2 linked regions of the Arabidopsis thaliana genome follow. The protein of the gene in region 2 interacts with the protein of the main gene of each other region in a pairwise test. Each region holds a gene or a part of one and is shown on either strand. Other genes may lie near its edges.

Region 1 (5,629 bases), on a different chromosome or scaffold from region 2:
AGTTTCAAAGCTAATGGGTAAGGGAAAAGATTTCCTACATGCAATTTCTAACCAAAATTTCACTTTTTTTTTGTCATAACCAAAGATAATTTCATCACTACTTTTGGTGCATTCACTAACCTATCAATAGAGAACCAATTACTATAGTGAAATCATAAGATAATGACGTACCTTCTTCTGGTTACCAGTTCCAACACCACCTTCATTCTTCTCTGCCTCAGACTTGAGATCAACCTTCAAGTCCTCAACAACAGACTTGCTCTCAAGATCCCAAATCCTAATGCTATTCTCAGTAGCAGCACACAACCAGTATCTGTTAGGACTGAAGCAAAGCGAGTGAATAATCGAACCCGCCTCAAGCGAGTAAAGCTTCTTTCCTTCAGCCAAATCCCACAACAAGATAACACCATCTTTCCCACCACTGGCGCATAGCGAACCATCAGGCGAGACAGCAACAGTGTTGAGGTAACCAGAGTGACCAACAAGAGAGTTCCTCAGCTTACAGTTCTGGAGATTCCAAACTTTCACAGTTTTATCCCAAGAAGCAGATACAATAGTTGGTACAAGAGTATTAGGACTAAACCTAACACAACTAACCCATTCCTTGTGACCATCACCTTCAGAGATGGTATACTTACACTCACCAAGTGTGTTCCAAAGCTTAATCGTACGATCACGAGAAGCAGACACGATCTGCCGGTTATCAGTAGAGAATGCAACAGAGAGCACATCTTTCGTATGACCAACGAATCGACGAGTTGTTTCTCCCGTGGCAAGATCCCAGAGACGGAGCTCACCGTCCCAGCTTCCGGAGAGTGCAAACTGACCGTCCGATGAGAGAACAACATCTTCCACGAAGTGAGAGTGACCTGTGAGCCTACGCTGAGCAACACCGTAAGACTTATCGTCCTTTGTGAGTTTCCAGAGGATGATGGATTTGTCACGCGACGCTGTGACGATGATGTCGGAATTGTCGATCGGCGTAGCGATGGCCGTGACAATGTCGGTGTGGGCGCGCATAATGCCCTTCAATACGAGTCCCTCGGCCATGGTTTGAGGTTTTCGGGTTTCTTCTTCTTACTCACGAAAATGGCGTAACAGAGCGAGAGATTACGAGGTCGATTGAAATGTTTGGTATTTATACTCTAGGTCTAAAAATGAATCAAATTAGGGTTTAGTGTGGTTTCTGCGAGGAGACTGGCTCATTTGGGCCGGAGTTTCCGAGTCAGGTATAAATGGGCCTCTTCTGAAATAAATTTTGTTGGAGCATTTTTGTTGTGATATAGTTGAGAAATGTTTGATCAGAGAGGGAACATAAGAGCAATTTGAACGAATTCGATTGAAATGTACAAGAGTTTACTAAAACACAAATAACACAATCGTAGTTTGTTCATAATTTAGCTTTGATTCTTATTAAGGTTTTAATCGTGAAGTGCACAGCACACAGTGGCTTTGTGATGACCTTGGTACACTTTCACTTCTTTGCCTGCTGGCATCGACCACAATCTAGCCGTCATGTCCGATGATGCTGTACAACATCATAGAAACCCGTTTAAAGATTGTTCTGATATGTTTTTCAGTGGTTTAAGTTAAGACAGAGATTAGTACCTGTTACAAGAAATTCTCCATCCACTGAGAAGACGCAGTCCCAAACCCATCTTTGATGTCCTGTTATATAAGATTTGATGATAGTGTAAGAGACGATAATGGAGAATGAATGCTGTTGACAGTAACATGGAGAACATACCTGTTAAAACTTTCTCTAGTTTAAAACCATCGACGTTCCATATTTTGACAGTTTTATCAGATGATGCAGTCGCTAGATATCTGCTAACAAATATGTAAGAGCTTCGAAAAGGAGAGGATGAAGAAAACGGTTAAAAGAGAAAGTATAAGAAACATGTTACTTGTTTGCAGGAGAGAGGAGACATTTAAGGATGTGGCCATTATGAGCTTGCAGCTTATGAAGGGGCTCAAACTCTGTCATTGTCTGTAAAAGATTTTGAATTTTTAAATGGCATGGACAATTAGAGTAATGCGACTACAACATGGTTAAACAAAAGAAAGGTTTGCATATCAGGAACACTACCTGTTTTCCACGCAACAAGCGCCATACATAACATGTTCCACGGTTGTTAGCAGCGACTACCATTGTCCCATCCCACATAACAGTTAAAGACCGTACAGCTGTATCAACTTCTGGTACCTATAGTTAACCTCAAGTGATTATCTACGGATTTTCAGAAATGAAATGAAGACGTGTCAAAGGCAATTACCAGTTCACAGCTACACGAATTTGCTCTGAGATCCCATACACGTATATTTCCATTTTGGTCTCCAGATATCAATTCAGTCTGTACAAAAAAAAAAAACAAAGTTCATAATAAAGACTAAGGAAATAGTTCATAATAACAGCTGAGACAACTACCAAAATCACAGCAGTTTCAACAGTAGCAATACAACAACTCTCTTAAACATAAAACGAAGCTGATTCCCACAGCACAACAATAACAGATGACTTCATGTACCTGATTTGGGTGTAAAACAACTGTATTAACCGCTGCAACACTTTCATACTCCTTTTGGCAACCCGGAGCCCTGCATTTTGGTTTACGAGTCAACAAGAATACAATTTAGAACGTTCTTAGTATTTTTCGTAACTTTATATTCAATATCTCCTTATCCTTTCCCAGAATCCACACTTGAATAAATCTATAAACTTTTAGCTAAAGATGAAGATGACATGATATACCTTAAGTCCCAGATCTTAACTGTGCCATCTTCTGATCCTGAATACATCCATTTTGCATCACATTGAAATCCTACTGCCATAACATTGTTGGTGTGTGAATCGTAAGTCATCACCTAATACACACGACGACTCCATCAAGATCACTCAAGCAGGTAGAAGGAAGCAAACACCACATTGAGAAAAAAAGAGAGGAGTTTTACAGGTTGAGGACTATTGGAATTGACATCAAAGAGTCGAATATGAGGATTGCAAGCTGCAGCTAGATAATGCTTATCTGGGGTTATCTCAAGCCTATTTACATGCTGCAATTACAAACATTAATTTGTCTCAGTTTTATTAATTACTCAGAATTCACAAAATCAAGGGAGAGAGAGAGAGAAACAAACCGAATCAGGATACTGAATGGTACGGTAACAGCGACCAGTTTCGGCTTCCCAGAATCGGATGGTGTGATCATAGCTAGCCGTAGCAAGAATCACAGAAGGCTGACTCATTTTCGATCGATTTTATCCCGATTGAAATATTAAACCAACCATTTCGTGATTTTTGCTGATTCCCAGAAAACAAACAAACCCCCTTTTCGAAATAATCAACAGAAGAACAAGCTAGGGTTTGGTGATTGAGGATCAAAAAACAGGGGAAAGAAAAAGGTGCAGAGAACTGTAAATTGAAGAGAAGAAGAAAAATAGGGTTTTTACCAAGCTTTTCTCATAATTAATTAACGCGGGGAGGTTTTAGTATAAATATATATCTATTGGGGTTTATTTAAATATACGAAAATAAGTAAAGGGCTATTTTGTTATTTATGAAAAGTAATAAGAAAATATAAAGAACAACTATTTGTTCACTACTTCACTGACAGACATAACGGCTGAGACTCCTTGGAAGCTTTTAGAGACGGCAACAATGGCGGCTACGAAAGCTCTGGAATTTGTTTTGCCGACGGGCTTCTTCATCCAGCCGTCATTGAACCGTCGCGGAGGAGTTAGGCTCTCCGTCGTCAAGTGTTCCATTTCTTCAGTCACCTCTACAGGCACCGCATCTGGTAACGCTCGCCGATTTCCCCATTTCCGTATTTTCACAGCTTGATTTTTTCCCAGAACTTTAGATTCGAATTGGCTTTCGATTCAAATGTTATGTATATATATGATTTTTTCAGATTACTTGTAGGCTCTTGATTCGTGCCTTAATCATCGTTTTGGTTATTGTTTCTTTTAGTTTGGATGAGCTGAAAATGTGTGTGAATGTTGAAATGTGATTCAAACAAGAGTAAAGAGGGGAGTTAATGTGTGTTAAGACACATTTGTCAGTTTTGGTTTTACAATAAATTTGGGGGTTTTTATTTTTATGTTTGTAGGACATAATGAGTCCATGGGTTTAATGGGTGCAGATACATTTCTTTTCTATATAAGCATGTAGTCTCATTTGTGAGAAATTATCAGAGATATCAGAGACATCTGAAAGTCATTCACAGAATTAAGTATCATTCAGCTAAACAGTTCTTAACCTCTGTTCTATCATCTCTGTTTCTAACAGTGAATTCCTTGTTTTACCGGTTTTGTAGGTTTTTTAGAGAAACCATGGAGCTCATACAATGCTAGGCTAGTGTTAGAAGATGGCTCTGTTTGGTCAGCTAAGTCTTTTGGTGCTTCTGGAACCCGTGTTGCTGAATTGGTATTTAACACCTCTTTGACAGGGTCAGATTCTTTTTTAGATTCTAATTTAGATTTCTAGATATTATAACTGGGTTTAGAACATTACTCATTTTAATCCTACCAGATGATCTTGACACACGGGCAATAACCCGTCGATTAAGAGAAAGCGGCAGTCTTAACGGTGTGCTTAGCACTGATGGATCCAAAACCGACGAGGAACTTTTGCATATGTCCCGCTCTTGGGATATAGTAGGTCTGAATTCTTTCACTGCCCTCCTTAAAATATGATCAGCGTGGAATATGTGATTGAGCTCTGTCTATCTGCTTGGTTGAATATTTTAGGCCTTGATCTAATAAGCGATGTTTCCTGTAAATCTCCCTACGAATGGGTTGAAAAAACAAATCCTGAATGGGAGTTTAAGACAACCTCCTCACGTCACAGGGAATCCTACAGAGTGAGTTGTACTTTCTCTTCTCTAATTTACATTCTCATCGATTTCCTCACTAGCTTCTAACTCTGTTTTCATACTTCCACTTCAAAAGGTTATTGCATATGATTTCGGGATCAAGCAAAACATTCTAAGACGGGATTTCCTCACTAGCTTCTAACTCTGTTTTCATACTTCCACTTCAAAAGGTTATTGCATATGATTTCGGCATCATACGGTTGTGAAATCACAGTTGTCCCATCGACATGGCCAGCTGCAGAGGCGCTTAAAATGAAACCAGACGGGATTCTATTCAGCAACGGTCCAGGAGATCCTTCTGCAGTGCCTTATGCAGTTGAGACGGTTAAAGAGCTTCTAGGAAAAGTTCCTGTCTATGGAATCTGTATGGGTCATCAGTTACTTGGACAAGCTCTTGGAGGTAAAACCTTTAAGATGAAATTTGGTCATCATGGAGGAAACCATCCAGTTCGTAACAACAGAACCGGCCATGTCGAGATCAGTGCTCAGGTATGCTCCATTTACTATCTATAGATTATAACCACACAAGATTAAACAGTCTAATCTTTCAGTTCTAATATAGTTTACAAATATGATGGGAAAATAAAAATTATTAATCAAAACTTAGTTATATACTTATATATGTAACTCTGAGAACTTGTTGTTACATGGCTGTCGAGTTCAGCTTCTCACTTCCTAGTACAGTAAACTAAAAAAAAGACGTCTCTGTTTTGTGTCTGCTGAAGATTTTGATTGATATTGTTTGTGCGGATTTT
Region 2 (6,090 bases):
CCATTTAACTTATTTGAGTCTTGGAATATTTCACTTGGAAAACAATGCGCTAATTCCATCTCCTATAATTTCCCTGTATATATTTTGAGAAGATGGATGGATTGAGCAATTTTAAAGACAAATATTTATGTAACTAAAAAATTATTCTTAACTTTCTGATGATTTATGTCTGAGGGAAGCATCTAGTATGCATTGTTTCTGTTTCATGTGAGATAAGCAAGAAAAGTAAGTGGGAAACAAGAAAGCAGAACAGTGAGATTACCAATTGTGCAAACAATCATATCATATAGTATACTTTGTTCGCCATCTTACTGTCACTTAAACAACAAAATTCACTATCATCGTTTAGCGGATTATTTTCAACTATATAACCCAGTAAAAGATAGTTTACTTGTCATGTGGTATATTTGACAGTTATCAAACTTTTGAGAGTTTGTGACACGTACGATACAGACACAAAATCAAATCTCCCTCTCCGACCATTTTTTTTTCTTAGTTACATAAATCTCTTTTCCTTCTCCAGCAACAGAAGAATTCTGCTCGATAATAGATTGGTAATCACAAAAAGAAAAGAAAAAGTGTTGGAGATCCTTCCGAGAGAGACGCGACATCTCCTTCCTCTTCGAAGATGAGTGGTACTGTGAAGGATATCGTTTCAAAGGAGGAGCTTGATAACTTGCGCCACAGCGGAGCACCACTCGTGCTTCACTTCTGGGCTTCTTGGTGTGACGCTTCGAAGCAGATGGATCAAGTTTTCTCTCATCTCGCTACTGATTTCCCTCGTGCTCACTTCTTTAGGGTTCGTCGTCTCTGTTCGAATTTTATCTCTTTCAATTGGTTTTTGACTTTGATTGGTTTTATTTATCTTCTTAGGTAGAAGCTGAGGAACATCCTGAGATATCTGAGGCTTATTCTGTTGCTCTTGTGCCGTATTTCGTCTTCTTCAAGGTAAACTTTAGGCATATTGATTCTTTGTTTGGTTGCAATTTTTTGGCTTATTGACAAAGCTTGAATCTTTGTCACTGCACTGAATCCTTTTCTTATTGAAGGATGGCAAAACTGTGGATACACTTGAAGGGGCAGATCCATCAAGTTTAGCTAATAAAGTTGGCAAAGTTGCTGGTTCTATTACTCCTGCAAGCTTAGGGTTGGCTGCAGGGCCAACGATTCTTGAAACTGTTAAGAAGAATGCGAAAGCTTCTGGACAAGACCGAGCTCAGCCTGTATCTACCGCTGATGCTCTCAAGAATCGTTTGGAAAAACTCACCCTGTTATGTTATTCATGAATGGTACTCCTGAAGAGCCTCGATTTTTAATATCTATTGAGTACTTTCTTTATAGTTGGAATTCTTGTGGATATATATCAGGTAGCTACTTGGAGCAAACATGTTGCTAAAGTTGACCTGCTACTGTTGTTTGAAGAACACGTGCTATGTCTTGTCGTTGAAGGAATTATGTTCATATGGGAAGAACATAAGCCTACTGGAAAGTTTACCCCTAGCTCTATTGTTAACCCAGATACTTGAGCCTCCATATCACAAACATCTAGTTAAGGTTTGTGTAGTAAGAACAAGAAAAACAACACGTGTTCCCAATTCCCATATAAATGACCATTATACTTCTATCAACCCAATTAATCACAGTCCGGAGACTAGTTGATTAAAAAATCAGCTAATACTAATTTGGTGGTTTCAATAAACATCTTAAATACTCCATAATTAAACTAGATTAAAGTGGGAAAAATCGTCATGAGTAGTTGTAAAATCGATTTCATTTAAGAGTATAGAAATTCGTCATGAGTGGTTGGTTCATGAGTTCTCTCTCTTACTCATATTAGAGTAAGAAATCAAACACTTATAATCATTCAAAATTCAACAACTCTCATCTCAAAACCATATATTTAGGTAAAGTTATATGCATACATTTTGCATTTTAATTTTAAAACAGATTATTTGGCGCGTAATGATAAAATTATGTGTATAAAAATTATTTAACTAATCGATCTAACAACCACATATGAGTAAAGTAGTTAACATTGTACTACTACACCAAATTATAGTGTGTTGGTTAGATTAGATACACAAACTCACTTTCTCAAATCAATAACATTATGAATCTATGATAACCTTAATTTAAAAAGAGTCTATAATGCCATGATTTTACAATCGTACTTTTTTCTTTTGGGCTGAACTTTTAATCATATATTATTTGAAAGATGTGATTATTATAATATTAAAGGGAATTAAAATCATGTAAGAGAAACCCAATAAAGTAGCTTGAAGAAGAAAAAGACAAGCTTTATTATACACTTACCCAGAAAAACAAAAAACAAAAAACTGATAATATCTCTCTCTCTCTCTCTCGTTGAGTGTGTCCATGAAATAATACTCTGCCAGAGACAGAGAGAAAGACTGTAACGGAGGATGTGGTGGCGAAGTGGCCACACTGACACACTGGTTTCATGATGGTGAACCACAACAATGGCCAGCGACCCACTGATATTGATTCTCGTCTCCGACAGACAGAACAAGATAAGCTCTTGTTCCATGACTTTTTAGGCTCCAAGAATCCTACTTTAGCATCCACTTCCATGGCTGACCATAGGCTACCACCGGATAATAAGGCGGCTAAAGCGGCGATGACTCCTTCCACGGCTTCTGCTTCCTCCGCCGGTGGACTCGGCGGTCTCTCCTCAACCTCCGATCTCGGTTCTGCTCTGTCTCTCTATCTCTCTCTCCTGATGTTTTTGTTGTTGTTGACGTAGTGTGCTTACGCTGATGAGGTTTTGAGCTGATTCCTCTGTACATTTAGGGTTTCTATCTATAGAAAGTTCAACTTTTGTTACATAGATTCGATTTAAAGTTGGATTCTTTCTTTTCCCCCTAGTCTGGATTAACGATCGAGCTTTGATTCACCATGATTTGAAAATGTAAGAGATCATGTGAGTTAGTTTCAAATTTTTTAGTCAATTCATTTATGATTAGATCTCTTAAGTTGAAAATGGAACATCTTTGGGTTCATAAGGTTGAACAAAATGTGAATGTACATTGTCTTGTTTCATTTCTTGCCTCATTGCTTTTTTAGTTCGACAATTTAAGAAACATGAACATGGATTGTGTGTGGGCATGTGGTTGCTTGACCTCTTGTAGTGTTAAGGACTCTCCCTCTCTCTCTCTCTCTCTCTCTCTCTCTGCCCAACCATAATGCCCTCTGGTGGATTAGTTGGGACATTGAGAGTGAATTTGACTGATGAGTTTGGTGGGTCATAGCCATTTGAGGTTGTGATCCTTTTTTATATGAATTGGCCCTTCTTTATTGCCTCTCGTTTTCTCTCTCTATCTCCTTGAGTTCCCTCCCACAACAATCTTTAAGTTACTTATCCATATTTTATCATTGTTTAGTCGAAAGACACAGCGGCGGTGGGAATCATCTTGATGGGATACAATTGTTTGGACCAAGAAGTGATGTTTCTGGCTCAATCATGAGCAATCGGTTTTCAGGAAATAAGAGAAGTAACTCTGATTCTCACTTCACGACTCAGGAGCACCCAGAGACTCTGCATTGGTCCAAGGTAACTAAAAAAAAAACAGAACCTACACAACTTCACCATGGTCACAGCTACGTAGAACTCAGTTTCTGTAATATGTCATTGTCATAACCTAGTTGCTTAGAAACGGACCTGGAAGCTTCTCCATGAATGTGAATCCTTTGGCAAACCAGCCTCCACGCGGAGGAGGACAGATCAGTCATTTGCTTCATCAGCTGTCTACTAGCAGGTTCAAAGATGAGAACGTAGGCCCATCAGTTATTGCTCAGACAGCTGCTGATGAAGGTTCACGAACAGGGATGAAAGGTCCCGGTATCTTGAGTTCTTTTACAATGCCAAACTCAAGCAAGCTCGAAAGTTTTGCCCCTTCAAAGTCAGTTAGCTTCTAGTGTTTTGTGTCTCTGGTCTTTCGATACTCTTCGAGTCATTTCAATACACTTTGTATTTGCAGTACCGGAAATCGGAAAGACTTGGCGTCGAGTACTAAGCAAATGACCATCTTCTATGGCGGTCAAGCTCATGTCTTTGATGACGTTCACCCAAACAAGGTGATTCTCCCTAACACTTATACACTTGATATTCAAGTTATTTGACTACATTTTGATATCTAAAAAGGTAGAGAATTGAGAAGTTCATCTGATGAATGTTATTTTTTTGCAGGCGGATGTGATAATGGCCTTGGCAGGATCAAGCGGAGGCTCATGGTCTACGGGTTTGTCTCATAAACCGAAGTCGAAGAACAACACAAGTGACGGTCCATACAAGCTAGGCCAAATGTATGAAGGAGGCAGCTCTAAGGAAACACCACAAATGCCCCCGGAATTTCGTGCAAGGCCGAGTCATCAACCTACCTCCAGTGCCTGTCACCGGATCTTTACACAACCAGGTGACTTCTTTTTAAAGAAAACCAGATTTCAGCAGAAATTTTGGTTAGCTTCTTACAAATACTGAGTGGAGTAGAGTAATCAGGTCTTATTTTGCATTGTGACATAATAAAATGAGGATACAACAGTAAAGAGTTATCAACTGTTCTGGGTTTTATCAACTTGAATCTGTTTGAGGAGCCATAAAACCATGTACATGTATGATTTGCAGGTAGAGAGCATCAAGGAAGCATCATCTCAAGGGGACGAGATATCAGAGATCCGGTTCACAGATCAGATCCTGAAAAAGAAGCCACATGATTAAAGTCTGAATATGAGAGACGATGAGTGTGGCTGTTCTTCTAAGTTGTTGTTTTTTTTGTTTTTTTTTTGTTTTTGGTCAACTTCTTCTAAGTTGTTATTTGTTGACTTGATAGCTTTGTACAATGCTCTGTACCTTTCTAGGTTTGTATTCAAACTCATCTCCTCAATGATTTAGAGAATAATATTTTCTCATAGCTCATATATAAACATATTGGTCAACCAAACCTACTATTTCTAGGCCTATCGATTTTCGTATATTTCCATGTAAGGCTGAGCATATGGATACATCACATCACAAGAGAATCATATCTAAATCAACTCTGGCTCTACTCTGGTTAGCTGTAACTCGAAAGGAGAGTCACTTCATATCACCTTATTCAAACCCTTCTTCGAGTCAGAGGTGTTCGTTCATGGCAGATATATGACTTCTCAGCCTCTCATTCTTAGTACATTCCTCCTGCCATTGAGAAATTTAGCACTACGTAAGTAGATGACTCTCGGGCTTTTCAGTATAAACACTTATTTCCTATCTTGTGCTAACCTGGTATGCTCTTAGTACAGTGTAGCATTTTCTTTGCTCTGCAGCTGCAGCTATATACTTTTCTTTTGAAGCATCACGGAGCCTCTGCTCTTCTTGAAGCCCAAGTTGTATTTTTCCAATCTTCTGCACTTTAAACATTTTGTTATGACAAATCATACAGCTATAGATAGGTAAGATGGGTTAGTTCATGCTTTGTGCCTCAAATACCTGATTCAATATAACTCAGATTACCTGTTGGATTCCTTTCATGACTCCTTCCATTGAATCAATAAGCTTCACACGGCCAGCAGGAGTACCAATCACGTCTTGAAACTACAATCAAGTCAACGGAATTATGGTGAAACTTTGACTCACCAAGAGATATACTAAAAGGGGAAAGCAGAGACGTAAATCAACTTAGTAATGAACATAAGCTATTCTCAACGATATAAGTACATGACAACTAAAGGTACAACGTGGAGAACAGTACAAAGCAGATGATGCTAGTTATAGAAAATCAACAAAATAATAATGCCTGTATTTTACCTGTGAACCTATGGAATTCAATAATGATGTCTCCTTAAGCATCAAATCTTTGATTTCTAAAAGAGCATTGTATGTTGCATAGAGCTTCCTAGTTTGTTGAAGTTTCTCCTGTTTTTAGTCAGATATCAAACAAATGTTCGTCAAGCTAGCAAGTTCATTTTCAACTAAGAAACAAACCTGCAAAGCAACGAGGCAAATATTAATTTGACTATTCGAACCTGAATACAGACATTCAGCTCTGAGAATCTTCTTTCATATCTGCACGGAATGAAATATTGGAATTTAGCGTG

What was found. Proteins that work in one complex are often made in the same cells at the same time.
Region 1: the proteins of TIFY8 (region 2) and LST8-1 interact in binary tests that used the Arabidopsis thaliana proteins (3 or more experiments, as listed by UniProt).

What each region holds. Positions count from the first base shown.
Region 1 is NC_003074.8:6,211,322-6,216,950, forward strand, and holds LST8-1 (Transducin/WD40 repeat-like superfamily protein), read right to left. Parts: upstream 3,484-5,629; 5' UTR 3,247-3,483; coding exon 3,139-3,246; intron 3,055-3,138; coding exon 2,953-3,054; intron 2,866-2,952; coding exon 2,753-2,865; intron 2,599-2,752; coding exon 2,529-2,598; intron 2,355-2,528; coding exon 2,277-2,354; intron 2,207-2,276; coding exon 2,090-2,206; intron 1,991-2,089; coding exon 1,908-1,990; coding exon of another isoform or gene 1,904-1,907; exon of another isoform or gene 1,828-1,903; coding exon 1,748-1,827; intron 1,669-1,747; coding exon 1,609-1,668; intron 1,529-1,608; coding exon 1,422-1,528; 3' UTR 1,264-1,421; downstream 1-1,263. Other genes in the region: RACK1C_AT (receptor for activated C kinase 1C), read right to left, coding at 172-1,050. UniProt on the Arabidopsis thaliana protein: Component of TORC1 complex, which is an essential cell growth regulator that controls plant development. Acts by activating transcription, protein synthesis and ribosome biogenesis, and inhibiting mRNA degradation and autophagy.
Region 2 is NC_003075.7:15,715,074-15,721,163, reverse strand, and holds TIFY8 (TIFY domain protein 8), read left to right. Parts: upstream 1-2,296; 5' UTR 2,297-2,461; coding exon 2,462-2,708; intron 2,709-3,401; coding exon 3,402-3,571; intron 3,572-3,663; coding exon 3,664-3,920; intron 3,921-3,998; coding exon 3,999-4,095; intron 4,096-4,207; coding exon 4,208-4,433; coding exon of another isoform or gene 4,434-4,498; intron 4,499-4,504; exon of another isoform or gene 4,505-4,642; coding exon 4,643-4,731; 3' UTR 4,732-4,932; downstream 4,933-6,090. Other genes in the region: AT4G32580 (Thioredoxin superfamily protein), read left to right, coding at 629-799, 874-948, 1,050-1,286; AT4G32560 (paramyosin-like protein), read right to left, coding at 5,129-5,191, 5,276-5,398, 5,507-5,587, 5,801-5,908, 6,019-6,058. UniProt on the Arabidopsis thaliana protein: Repressor of jasmonate responses.